Linked DNA regions of Oryzias latipes. The protein of the gene in region 3 interacts with the protein of the main gene of each other region in a biochemical or structural test. Links are inferred from orthologs where the notes say so. Each region holds a gene or a part of one and is shown on either strand. Other genes may lie near its edges.

Region 1 (3,651 bases), on a different chromosome or scaffold from region 3:
CCCCTCTTTCTTCCACCAACAGTAGTCAAATTTCCACCGACACCCTGTAGGTTAACAGCATCGGTGGCGGTCGTTGTTAACCCGGGCCTCGACCGATCCGGTATGTCTAAATCTTTCTCGTGGATGATTCGCATGGTTATTTTGGCAATTTTTACGCCGGATGCCCTTCCTGACGCAACCCTCTCTATTTATCCGGGCTTGGGACCGGCACAGAAGTTACTGGCTTGCAACCCCTGTGGCTAGATTGCAACCCCTGTGGCTAGATCCATATATGTGATAATATATTACCTTTGGCACACTTAGGAACTATTTTTGTAAATGAAATTATTGGTTATTTTCACAGCTCATTTTCTGAAGTAACACAGCTCATTCTTAGAGTCACTGCCGTCCGCTCCATGTGGGTGCCGCCCATTTAATGACGTCAATCTAGAGTCGTCTTCTGCGTTTCACCCACAAAAACAAGCAACATCTAAAGTTTTGCAAAGATTGATGTCCATGTTGTGCACATCAAATGAAAGCATTTAGCCGATCATCGCTAGCTCAGTGGAGAACGTGAGTGTGTGTGTTAGCCAGGGGGCGGGGCTGGCAGCACAGACTCTTCCTGGAAGGGGCTGTTCTTCCTTTGTGACGTCACAATGTGAGGACCCGCTCATTTTCGTGGGTTGGGAGGGGCTGGTGCTAAAATCTTTGCAACACACTCCAGAGCAGAGTATTCTTGTTTCTGTGATAAGGAACTATCAAATGCTGTATTTGTTTGTGTTTCATTCTCATTTATAGTTTTTTTTTCTTTCTCCTTTGAGAAACTTTATTGTTGTTGATCCATTTAAACTCAAGTCAGGATTGAGCCTCTTTGGACATACAAGCAAAGGCTTTTCAATGCTTTACTTTCTTAGTTTGATCTCTAGCAAATTTCAAAATTCGGTTTCAATAAATTCCCCTTTTTACTTTTACGGGGGAATCATGCTGATAAACGTGTTTTTCTCTCTTAAGGACTTTGCGTCACTGCCTGAAAAAGACAAGACAGCTCTTGGTGAAGGAGGATCGACGCTCAGCGGCGGTCAGAGGGCACGCATCTGCTTGGCCAGGTACTGACTGCACAGCTGTGCATCAGTCTGGGCACAGACCTTTGTTTTCACCAAATGTGGGCACGAATGAAGTAAAAAAAAAAGTTAAAAAGTCCAATAACATTATTTTAAAGTAACATGTGAAGGATTCAAACGGTTTGGGAATTACTAAAAGTTTATTTAATATTTTAGGAATATTAATTTTTAATCATTTTAAATTACAAAGGTACATTTATAATCCAGCTGCTTTGATTATCAGTGGAAATCCAGAGGGAAAAAGGAATTTTTCGCTGTTATCAAAATAGTCTGTCCCTTCACAGAGGATGGTTTGCTTTCTGTTTTGATTGTGTGTGAAAAAACTCCTTAAAATGTTTTACTGTTTATGCAGAAACAAATCATCAGACATGTTCTCATTTTCCTGTGAACGATTTATTAGTGTTATGTTGTAGCAGTGATTTGTGGCCTCTGATTGTTTCTACCCTCACTGGAAAGGGTCAGCTGGAATGATTTACTGTATTTCCTCACCTTTCCTTTGCTTCATGTTTAGGAACAGCTGTGCTCATTGTTTTCTCTTTACTTCAACTCTTATTTTTAATGTTTTTCCTTTGTGTTCTTCTCTGACTGGCTGCATTGGCACTCTGTCTTCCAGGAGTGTGTATAAAGATGCAGCCCTTTACCTGCTGGATGCTCCTTTCACCCACCTGGACATTGCAACAGAGAAAGAGGTCTTTGATAAGTACGTATGCCGACAGAAACTCTTTCAAGCAGCAGTGGGGTGGGAGGGATGCTAAAGTTCAAGGTTAAGGTTTTCTCTTGTTGTTTCATGTTTATTAGCTGTGGTGAGCAGTCGGTCTGTAAGAATTACACTCTGATGAAATGATGTCTGGTGTCATGAGACACCTTATTCTGCATTCCAATATGTGCTTTTCAACAGAAACCGTTTGTATATTTTGCTAAAGATCCATTTGAGCATGCCTCATCCTCTTTCCACAGATGTGTCTGTAAGCTGATGGGCTCCAAGACCCGTGTTGTGGTCACCAGCAAGCTAGAGCACCTCAAGCGTTCAGACAAAATCCTCATGCTGCACAACGGAGAGTGTTACTTTTATGGTACATTTTCAGAGCTGCAGGCACAACGCCCCGACTTCAGCTCCCTCCTGCTTGGTCTTGAAGCTTATGACAACATTGTCGCGGAGCGACGCTCTTCCATTCTCACAGAAACTCTTCGCAGGGTCTCGGTTGACGAAACCGCTGGCTTCCGAGGCCCGGAAGCACTTCGCCAGTCGTTCCAGCACGCGCCACCTCAGGGTCACAACGGGGTTGATGGATACCCTGAAAAACGCAAACAGTCTCTCATCCTTAACCCCATTGCAGCTGCTCGCAAAATCTCCTTTATAGGGAACTCCCAGCAGACAGGCACACTCCAGCCGTCACTCATGGAGGAGGGTGGCAATGAACTTTCCGACAGAAGATTCTCTGTGGTGCCGGAGGATGATCAAGTGGAGGAAGCACTTCCAAGGAGTAACCTGTACCACCACGGGCTGCAGCACCTCGGTGGACAGCGGCGCCAGTCCGTCCTGGCTTTCATTACTAACGCTCAGGGCCAAGACCGCAGAGAGAGGATGCAGTCATCGTTCAGAAAAAAGCTGTCTGTCACACCACAGTACGACCTGGCAACAGAGCTGGACATCTATGCACGGCGCCTGTCCAAGGACAGCGTTTTTGAGATCACAGAAGAGGTGGAGGAAGAAGACATGGAGGTGTGCCCAATACACAGGCTTTTTTTCATGTGTTATCAAATGCAAACAAATGTTCTTCAGTCAACATCTGGGTACAAGTGTCTCTTCTGTTTTCCACAGCAATGCTTTGCAGATGAGCGTGAGAATGTCTTTGTGACTACCTCGTGGAGCACTTACCTCCGCTATGTTTCCACCAACAAAACCCTGATATATGTCCTTATTTTCATTGCTATTGTTTTTGCCATTGAGGTAAGATTCAAACCCTTTTCAAGTCCATGCTTTTAAAGTTGTGAGCATAATATGAACATCTCTGTCCTTGTCTCCACTGATAGGTTGCTGGTTCAGTCATTGGTATTTTTCTCATAACAGAGTGAGTGTCAGTGTTCCTCAAAACTGAAATAAAACTCTTCATTGTCAAACAGAAATCTAGTTTTCAGAGTCTGAGATATTTGTTTTGGAGTGTTTGTTGGAGTTTTTTGGAAATGTTTTCCTTTTCACATTATGTTTAATTATGAACCTTATCAATGGTAGGTTTCTAGAATTAAGTGGATGTTTTGAACCTTAAGACAAAATGTGATCATTTTTCCGTTGAAGCATAGCGTGACTTTCTGTCTTCTGCTCTGTTTTATCAGTAAAGTCTGGAGAGATGGTGCCAACCCAAACTCACCCAACTACATCGATGATCAGCCCATCAATTCCTCGTCCCCCCCGGTCCATCTGGCAGTTATTGTGACTCCGACCAGCGCCTATTACATTATTTACATCTTTGTGGCCCATTCAGACAGCATACTGGCCCTCGGAGTCTTCAGGGGCCTTCCTTTGGTGCACTCACTGCTCACCGTTTCCGAA
Region 2 (4,336 bases), on a different chromosome or scaffold from region 3:
TGTTGTCGAGTCTGAGGATCAGGGTAGGGGGTCATCAGATATGGCAGACAAGGATACCCCCTGTCCCCCAGCAAGTAACCACTGAAATGTCCTATAATGGCAGTTAAAGTGTATAATTTACATAACATTAAATGCATGACATTGTATAAAAAATGAAGGTAAATTATACCCTGGTGAAATTTGGGGCACAATTATGACTCCCTAAAAATTCTGGCATCACGAACAGATCCTAGCTATTTGGCTTCTTTTGTTTCTGCTTTCTTTTGTTTTGTGTGCTTGAATTAAAAAAACAATTCCAAAAAGATGGATCATCATACAAACTGCCTTACACCTCATTCAAATATAGAATTCTTTGTCGTATATTTGTCTCCTCTGCTTCTGCATGATCAAAATAAAGTAACATCGCAGTAATGCAAAATTGATTATTTTCGAATAAAAAAAACAATCTGTAATATAATGAATGGAAGTACAGCACAGTAACAAAAAAAGCATTTGGCAGTCACTGATTCTTCAAGATGTCGCACTTTTAAAATGACAGGTCAGTAATGTTCATCATAGATACTATTCAACTTTGAAAGACGACAACATGTTAAAAAAATCTAGCTGATCACATTGTATGATTTTTAAAAATGTGTTTGTATAACCCTTGTGCTATCCTAGGCACTTTAACGTTGGGAGTTGGGTCATCTAGACCCACAGTTCACTGAACCTTTTTTCTTCAATGATTTGTGATCTTCACTGGTGTCCATGGATTACATGAAATCTTTCCACCTTTATCCACTTTTTTCATGGTAGGAATAACACGTCAATGTAAGGGTGGGGGTCATAGGATAGCACAAGGGTTAAACGGGCACAGAAAAAGAGTACGGTATTTGATCAGAAACAAAAGTTCATCTTGAAATGCTTTTTACGTTGCCACTCCTTTGCTGCCATAAGTGGATGTGGCTGTGGCTGTCCAAACACTTTGCTCTGACAACACAATGACAATCGAAGTAAAAAAAGAGTCAGAAATCTGAGATTATTTTAAACAGCACAGAGTAAAAAAAGTTTAAATTAGACCAATTAGATTAATTAATTAGGTTAAAATGGGGGGAGGGGGTTAGAATCCGAAGAAAAAAGCCAGAAGTCGTAAAAAAAAGTCTAGAACTCTGACTGGATAATTTAGAATTCTGAATAAAGTCAGAAATCTGACATTATTGAGATAGAAAAGGTTTGAATTCTGAGATAAAGTGAGAATTTCCCTTTCTCCGTGGTCCTAATCTTCTTCCGTACGTAATAAAGATAACTATTGGGATTTTTTTCCCCTTTCTTTAAGAGAACTTTTAATTGAAAAACAAGCTAAGAGGTGCATACATCAATGGCGTAAAGCAGACTACTGCGGTGTAGTCAAGTCCACCCGTCCCAGAATCCTTTGCGCGACCTTTCATAGTTTCTGCATCCGGGGTCGTATTTCCTTTTCCTCTGTGCCTAGATGCGATGAGGAGCTAGGTTCGGCTGAACCTGTCTAAAATCCGAATCCATCCTTGTAAAAGGCACCACCGAACCTCCCCAAAATGACTGAGCAGATGACAGTAAGGGGGACCCTGAAGGGGCATAGTGGATGGGTCACACAGATCGCCACTACACCTCAATACCCCGACATGATTCTGTCGGCGTCCCGAGGTGAGGCTTCGCCCCGCCGGCACCGCCAACATGGCTAACGTTAGCTCTCAGCTGCTTGCGTTCAAAATGCTGTAACTTTGAATTTGTTGCGTGAGTAAATGAAACCAGCTAGATTTAATAAACAACTACGGAGGTTTTTACCGTATATAAAGTGATGCAAAATGAACATTTGTAGACATGTTAGCAAAGAGGTAAGCTAGCTTCCTGTGACATAGCATAATATGTGGCAGCTGCTACCTCAAAAAAACTTAGTTGTAACTGAAGCACTTTTCTTATTGATGCACATTTTATTTTGAAAAAAAAAATGTATCTGAATAAATATAAAAGTGGTTTGAATGTGTTTATCTAAAGTATCTCTTGCTTTCAGACAAATCTATCATCATGTGGAAACTGACCCGTGATGAGACCAACTATGGCATCCCCCAGCGCTCCCTGAAGGGCCACTCTCACTTTGTAAGTGATGTTGTGATTTCCTCTGATGGACAGTTTGCCCTGTCAGGAGCCTGGGATGGAACCCTCCGCCTGTGGGACCTCACCACGTAAGTGAAGGGCAGGAAGCATCTCTTTAGTGGTTGGTGGCAGCATGATTTTAATCATTTATGTGAAGCAGCTGCCAGCCAGCCATTCATTTGTGGAGAAAATGGGATGTATTTTGAAAAGATGCCTAACACATATGTACTAAAGACTATCAAAAGAAGACGAGTACATTTACTGATTACATTCCATGATGCATATAAATACCTTAGATTTCAGATTAGTTTTGTTGTTTTGCTATTGAGAGATTTGGAAATCAATTTAGCATGTTTCTTTTTAAAATGAGGTTTACCTGCATCCAGTCCAGTCATTTCAGTTTTTTAAGCACCAGTTTACAGCTTTAGTTGTTTCTAGGAGCCTCACAAGTCATGAAACGTCCAGTCAACCTAAATTCATTGTTTTTAATTCATTCCACCTCACATCATCTTTAAATGCCAAATTCTCTCAACTTGTATGTTTAGTCATTTTGATGGAGATCTATCCTGTTTATATTTTATGGGATTGAACTGACTTGTTTTAATGTACTATTGTCTCTAGCCTTTACCTTTTTTTGTTTACATTTGATAGTTTCACAGCTTTCTAAAGGCAAACCTTTATTGATGTTCCTTTCTTGGTCCGTCTGTTGTGGAGTGTATTTCTTAGCTGTGGTGTGATGACAGGCGTCCTCTTCATGTTTTTTTTTTTTTTTATTGAAAGCCTCTTGCTAATAGGTAAATGTGCCATTTTTCAGAGGGCTCACCACCCGCCAATTTGTTGGACACACCAAGGATGTTTTGAGCGTGGCCTTCTCTGCTGATAACCGCCAGATCGTGTCTGGCTCTCGGGACAAGACCATCAAGCTGTGGAACACTCTCGGCGTTTGCAAGTACACCATTCAGGTGAGCTGCCGGATAATGCTGCCTCTTTGTAGATCTTATGACGTCCTTATCCGTGCTGCAGGATTTTATTGACTTTGAACTCCTGTGAAGAGTTGACATGACGGTCAGATCATGAAGTTAAGCAAATTAAGTCGCTAACCTTCAAAAAGAAAGGCTTTACTGATAATCTCGTGCTTGTAAATTTTGTAAATTTATTTTAAAAAATCACATAAGCATTGACCTGTAATCAAATAGATTCCTGTAAAACCGTATGTGTTTGATTTTGCAGGATGAAGGCCATACTGAGTGGGTGTCTTGTGTTCGCTTTTCTCCAAACAGCAGCAACCCCATTATTGTCTCCTGCGGCTGGGACAAGATGGTCAAGGTTTGTACTTCCGCTTCCCTTCATTTGCCATTAGATTGATTTAAAAACAATAGAAAAATATGCTCCATGATTTTAAAGAAGTTTGCATGTATTACCTGACCTGGTTTCTGATGAGAAGCTTTGTGGATGAGAGCACGTCTCCACAGTTTTATCTGGTCTTTTCATGTCAGTGTAAACTTGACGGTCACTGTCTGCTGCTGTTTCTATAGGTGTGGAACCTGGCGAACTGCAAGCTGAAGACTAACCACATCGGCCACACTGGCTACCTGAACACGGTGACCGTATCTCCTGACGGCTCCTTGTGTGCATCCGGTGGAAAGGTAAGCTGGTTCAGTTGGAGAACTCGACTCGTATACTTGTGAAGATTTTTAGTGATGGCACACAAAGGCCGACCTCCAGGTGTCAACTGTGATGGATAAATAACACATCATTCTGTTGGTAAACAATTGATGACAAAAGAGGCTGTTTCTGAGTGACACTGAGTCGTAAAGCCACGCTAAATGAAGATCCAGAACAGAGCTGCTGTGTGGTCATGGCTTATTTTCTTGTTAATGTTCTCTCAATCAGGACGGCCAGGCTATGCTTTGGGATCTGAACGAGGGCAAGCACCTGTACACCCTGGACAGCGGCGATGTCATCAATGCCCTTTGCTTCAGCCCCAACCGCTACTGGCTTTGTGCCGCCACTGGCCCTAGCATCAAGATCTGGGTGAGAGCTCCTACGTGATGATGTGGAACTACTGCTGAATGTGGTTTGATGGGCCTTGATGAAACTTGAAAATGCTAACTGTATTGCTTGATGATAACAGAGGCTGTTTCTGAGCTCCAGACTAATTAGCTTCAGTCATTTCTGTACATTGCCTGTTATTTTGAGTTGTTTTAGTCATACGGTAAATGTT
Region 3 (3,651 bases):
CTATTCCTGCTCTGCTACCTTTTCTTTAAAAATGTTTTAGTTAATCCTTTTTTTTTTCATTCAAGTTTAAAACCGACCAATTGATGCCTCGATAAAAGTAGGTGGTGCCTGCTGGCCCTCACGTCGAACGTTCAGAACGTCTGATAAACAGATTTCATGTAGCCCGCCGCTTTCAAGTGAAAGGGGTGTGGACTTTCAATAAGCTCACTCCTGATTGGCCATAGAAATAAGGACACCGACCAACCCAGACCAATCACAGCTTAGTGACGTCGGGCTCCAACATGGCGGTGTCCATATCAGGAAAAGATGGCGTTGGAGCTGGAAGTAATCCATTTTCTATGGGTGAGGTCACACTCACTCAGTCCAGTTCTCGTATACAGTCAATGGTTGCAAAGTAGTCAACTTTATTTTTTACAAATATCTATTAAGGCTGTAAAACCCCTCACAATGCTCTTGATATACTTTTCTCAGAAATTCATGAACAGTTTCACACTTTACTCCTTTGTTTAAATTCTCAAAGTTGAAACCATAATAGACAAATAAATGTAATACTATAGAATGAAAACAAAGGTCTGATCAAAGATTTTGAAAACTGAACACGTTCTGGACAGGAGACACAGCACAGAGATTGGTTGACAGTAGCATGCAAAATCGCACACAAAAATCTGCAAAAAAAAAAGCAACATTGTGAGATAAACCACGATATTGCAAGGAACCAACATATAAATAAACTCTAGGGAAGCTGCTGTGTGGTGAATGCAGGCAAGCTCATCAATCTGCTCTATTGAATCCTGAAAGTTTTCTCCCCAAAAAAAGGCTAAAGAACTTTAATTTGTGAAACTTATGCAACTTTTTCCCAATTCCTGATCATTTTCTTCCAAGAGTTCCTAGATTTTTAGCCTCAGGGCCAAAGTGGGCCTCAGTTATTGGAGGAGGCTCTAGGAGGAGAATTGAGCCTCCCCAGAGGACTCTTGTGGCAGAGGCAGAAGCTGCTGACAGCTGCCTCTACTGCACACTTCCTTGATGGCTTTGATTAAACGGCAGACCTCGCTCACTTTAACACCACGTGACCCTGGAGGAATGTGCACTCTAGACTGTAGCCGACCTGTTGAGTGGGTTTGTTTCCTGTAAACAGTGCGCTCATGTTTTAGTTGTAACAGTGTTGCTGATGTCAGAATCACTGGGGGTTAAACCTCCGTTCTCTCCCGTATTTTCTGAGAGCGCTTTGAGTAAAATACACCTTAAAGACCCTTCCGGGTGCATTAGTGGGAGTCCTGTTTTGATCATTATTTTGGATCAGTAAAAAGGAAATAAAAACAAGAAAGAGGCCTACAATTAATGTTTGGAAAAGCTTCAAAACATATATTCAATTAAAAATATCAAGTACTTCAAAATGTATACACACACACACACACACACAAATGTTTGTAAAATATTTACAAAAACAAAAAATGAATAACATCTTTGAACTCAAGATATTCCTATCTAGAAAAAATACTCAGCATGCCCATGTAAACGAAGTGCAATATGACACATTGAGTCTAGAAAAAAAATGTATATATATTCAAAAAAATGAAGTCAGAATTTATGAGTTGACAGTCTTTCACTGTGTCCCTCGCTGCTATAAAACCCCTCCCACTGGTTACAGATGGGGCGGTGGCTTTCTACCGCCTGCTCCTGGCTGTGAGAGTCTCTGAATGATGTCAGGAACTCACACACAGAGACGTGCGCTGCTCATCGATGCTTTTGTAGAACTGATCCCTCATCATCCACGTCCTCCATGATGAAGTCGAGAAAAGCATTAGACGGAAGCTCCTCCCACACGCCACGGGGCTTTAACTTAACACCTTTTTGGACGTGTGTCAGGCAGGAACTAAGGCATGTTATAACAAAAACGGAGACATGGAAATTTAACACGTGAATGGCGTTCGTTGTGAATAGACGGTTGATTTAAATGATGCGGACACAAGTTGCACACGAGAAGCGAGACTGGGGCTTGATCTGTGGTACATGTGTGTGCCGAACCGTGGCTAGTGATGCGTACCATGATCCGTTGCACCCCGACTGATCATATTGTGATCTATTGCGAATGCATTCCCCAAGACCTCTCAGTTATGTGTGTGCCGTCTTTAGCCAAAACAAAAAAAACCTGTGTGGTTTTCTAGGAAATAGTTTCTGCAGAGCGGCAGGAGTTCAGTAGAAAGTTGTGAGCGGGAACGCTGGCATGGAGGAAATCCTGCCCCCCCTTACCTTCCCCCCTTGCTGAGAGCTCTCTGTTTACATGCTTTTCCACCAGCTCACAGCCCTCACACCCCAAACCTGACATTATCGGTGCGACAAAAATGGCGAGCAATAGTGGAGCTATCCAGCCATATCTTCTAAGCCAGATATGCCAGATCAAACAAGGAAAACAAAGGCGGACATGGATGTAGTCATCTATCAGAATAGAGCAGAGCAGGGAGTAGCATAACCAATACAATCTTTTTCAAACTACATATTTTTGTCTGCTCCTGATTTGCGATTTTATTGAAGAAATACTCAGAAAAGCAATTTTAAGCCTAATTCTCTTCATATTTTTCCTCCTCCATCAGAAAAATGCCATAAGAACATGTTATAGACACCAAACGCTCACTTTTTTGTAAATTAACTAGTGTGTGCTCCCCACAGGGAGGACGATTGGTTTAAACAAGATCTACCCAAGTACTTGTTCCCTGAGGACCCCTCCTACAGCAACAACATGATAGATGACGAGGCCCTGAAGGAGGTCTGTGAGAAGTTCGAGTGCACAGAGGAGGAGGTTCTGTCCTGCTTATACAGCCGCAACCATCAGGATCCATTAGCTGTGGCTTACCATCTCATCATTGACAATCGGCGCATCATGAGCGAAGCCAAGGATTTCTACCTGGCGTCCAGCCCTCCCGACTCCTTCTTGGACGACCAGCACCTGACTTCCTCCGCCGCAGCCGTGGCTGGCGTTTTAAAGCCCCACCCCGAGCGGGTACCCTTCCTCGTGGCGGAAACTCCGCCCAGGCCCCGCCACACCCTGGACGAACTGAACCCCCAGAAGTCCAAGCACCAGGGCGTCCGGAGAGCCAAGTGGCACCTGGGGATCCGTAGTCAGAGCCGACCCAATGACATCATGTCGGAAGTGTGCCGCGCCATGAAACAGCTGGATTATGAGTGGAAGGTAGGACGTCCCTCTGAGCGGTGTGGGGATGGGTTCCTGCCAAACATGTCTGCACGCCAGATGGACACCTGCTAAATGAAATGGCCACTACTGAAATGTTGTTTGAACTCCTTAGCTTGTTGCGACTCAAGCATTTTAAAATCCCAGAACCTGTAACATGTTCTGACCCGTTAAATCCACACAATCTATTTTTTTAATGAACAGACCTTCATCCTGATCTTTGAAGAGGTTCTCTATCCATCTCACCTAACTCAAGAATCTTAAGATAAAAATCTGTTTAATAACAATTTTTTTCCTAGTTGAAATTAAGTTTCTAGCTTACACACTAAACGAAAAAGAACCTTCATGCAGAAGATCCCACAGTGAGGCCAAACATTAAAGCTTAACTACAAAACGGTCAAATTTAGGAGAGAAATTTTCACTTTTCCTTCATAAAAAATATATGTTTCCTGTTATTCTGTGGT

What was found.
Region 1: the proteins of prkaa1 (region 3) and cftr form a complex in vitro, tested with the Homo sapiens proteins (2 studies listed by BioGRID, with this or other methods). The link is inferred for Oryzias latipes from reciprocal best matches to the Homo sapiens genes PRKAA1 and CFTR.
Region 2: of the proteins of prkaa1 (region 3) and rack1, one has a biochemical effect on the other in vitro, tested with the Homo sapiens proteins (2 studies listed by BioGRID). The link is inferred for Oryzias latipes from reciprocal best matches to the Homo sapiens genes PRKAA1 and RACK1.

The regions. Positions count from the first base shown.
Region 1 is NC_019864.2:3,335,184-3,338,834, forward strand, and holds part of cftr (cystic fibrosis transmembrane conductance regulator), read left to right. Parts: intron 1-990; coding exon 991-1,085; intron 1,086-1,713; coding exon 1,714-1,800; intron 1,801-2,057; coding exon 2,058-2,823; intron 2,824-2,922; coding exon 2,923-3,051; intron 3,052-3,134; coding exon 3,135-3,172; intron 3,173-3,434; coding exon 3,435-3,651. UniProt on the Homo sapiens protein: Epithelial ion channel that plays an important role in the regulation of epithelial ion and water transport and fluid homeostasis. Mediates the transport of chloride ions across the cell membrane.
Region 2 is NC_019868.2:17,071,981-17,076,316, forward strand, and holds the start of rack1 (receptor of activated protein C kinase 1), read left to right. Parts: upstream 1-1,436; 5' UTR 1,437-1,553; coding exon 1,554-1,662; intron 1,663-2,029; coding exon 2,030-2,201; intron 2,202-2,926; coding exon 2,927-3,074; intron 3,075-3,342; coding exon 3,343-3,438; intron 3,439-3,647; coding exon 3,648-3,758; intron 3,759-4,005; coding exon 4,006-4,146; intron 4,147-4,336. UniProt on the Homo sapiens protein: Scaffolding protein involved in the recruitment, assembly and/or regulation of a variety of signaling molecules. Interacts with a wide variety of proteins and plays a role in many cellular processes.
Region 3 is NC_019870.2:7,430,035-7,433,685, forward strand, and holds part of prkaa1 (5'-AMP-activated protein kinase catalytic subunit alpha-1), read left to right. Parts: intron 1-2,667; coding exon 2,668-3,187; intron 3,188-3,651. UniProt on the Homo sapiens protein: Catalytic subunit of AMP-activated protein kinase (AMPK), an energy sensor protein kinase that plays a key role in regulating cellular energy metabolism.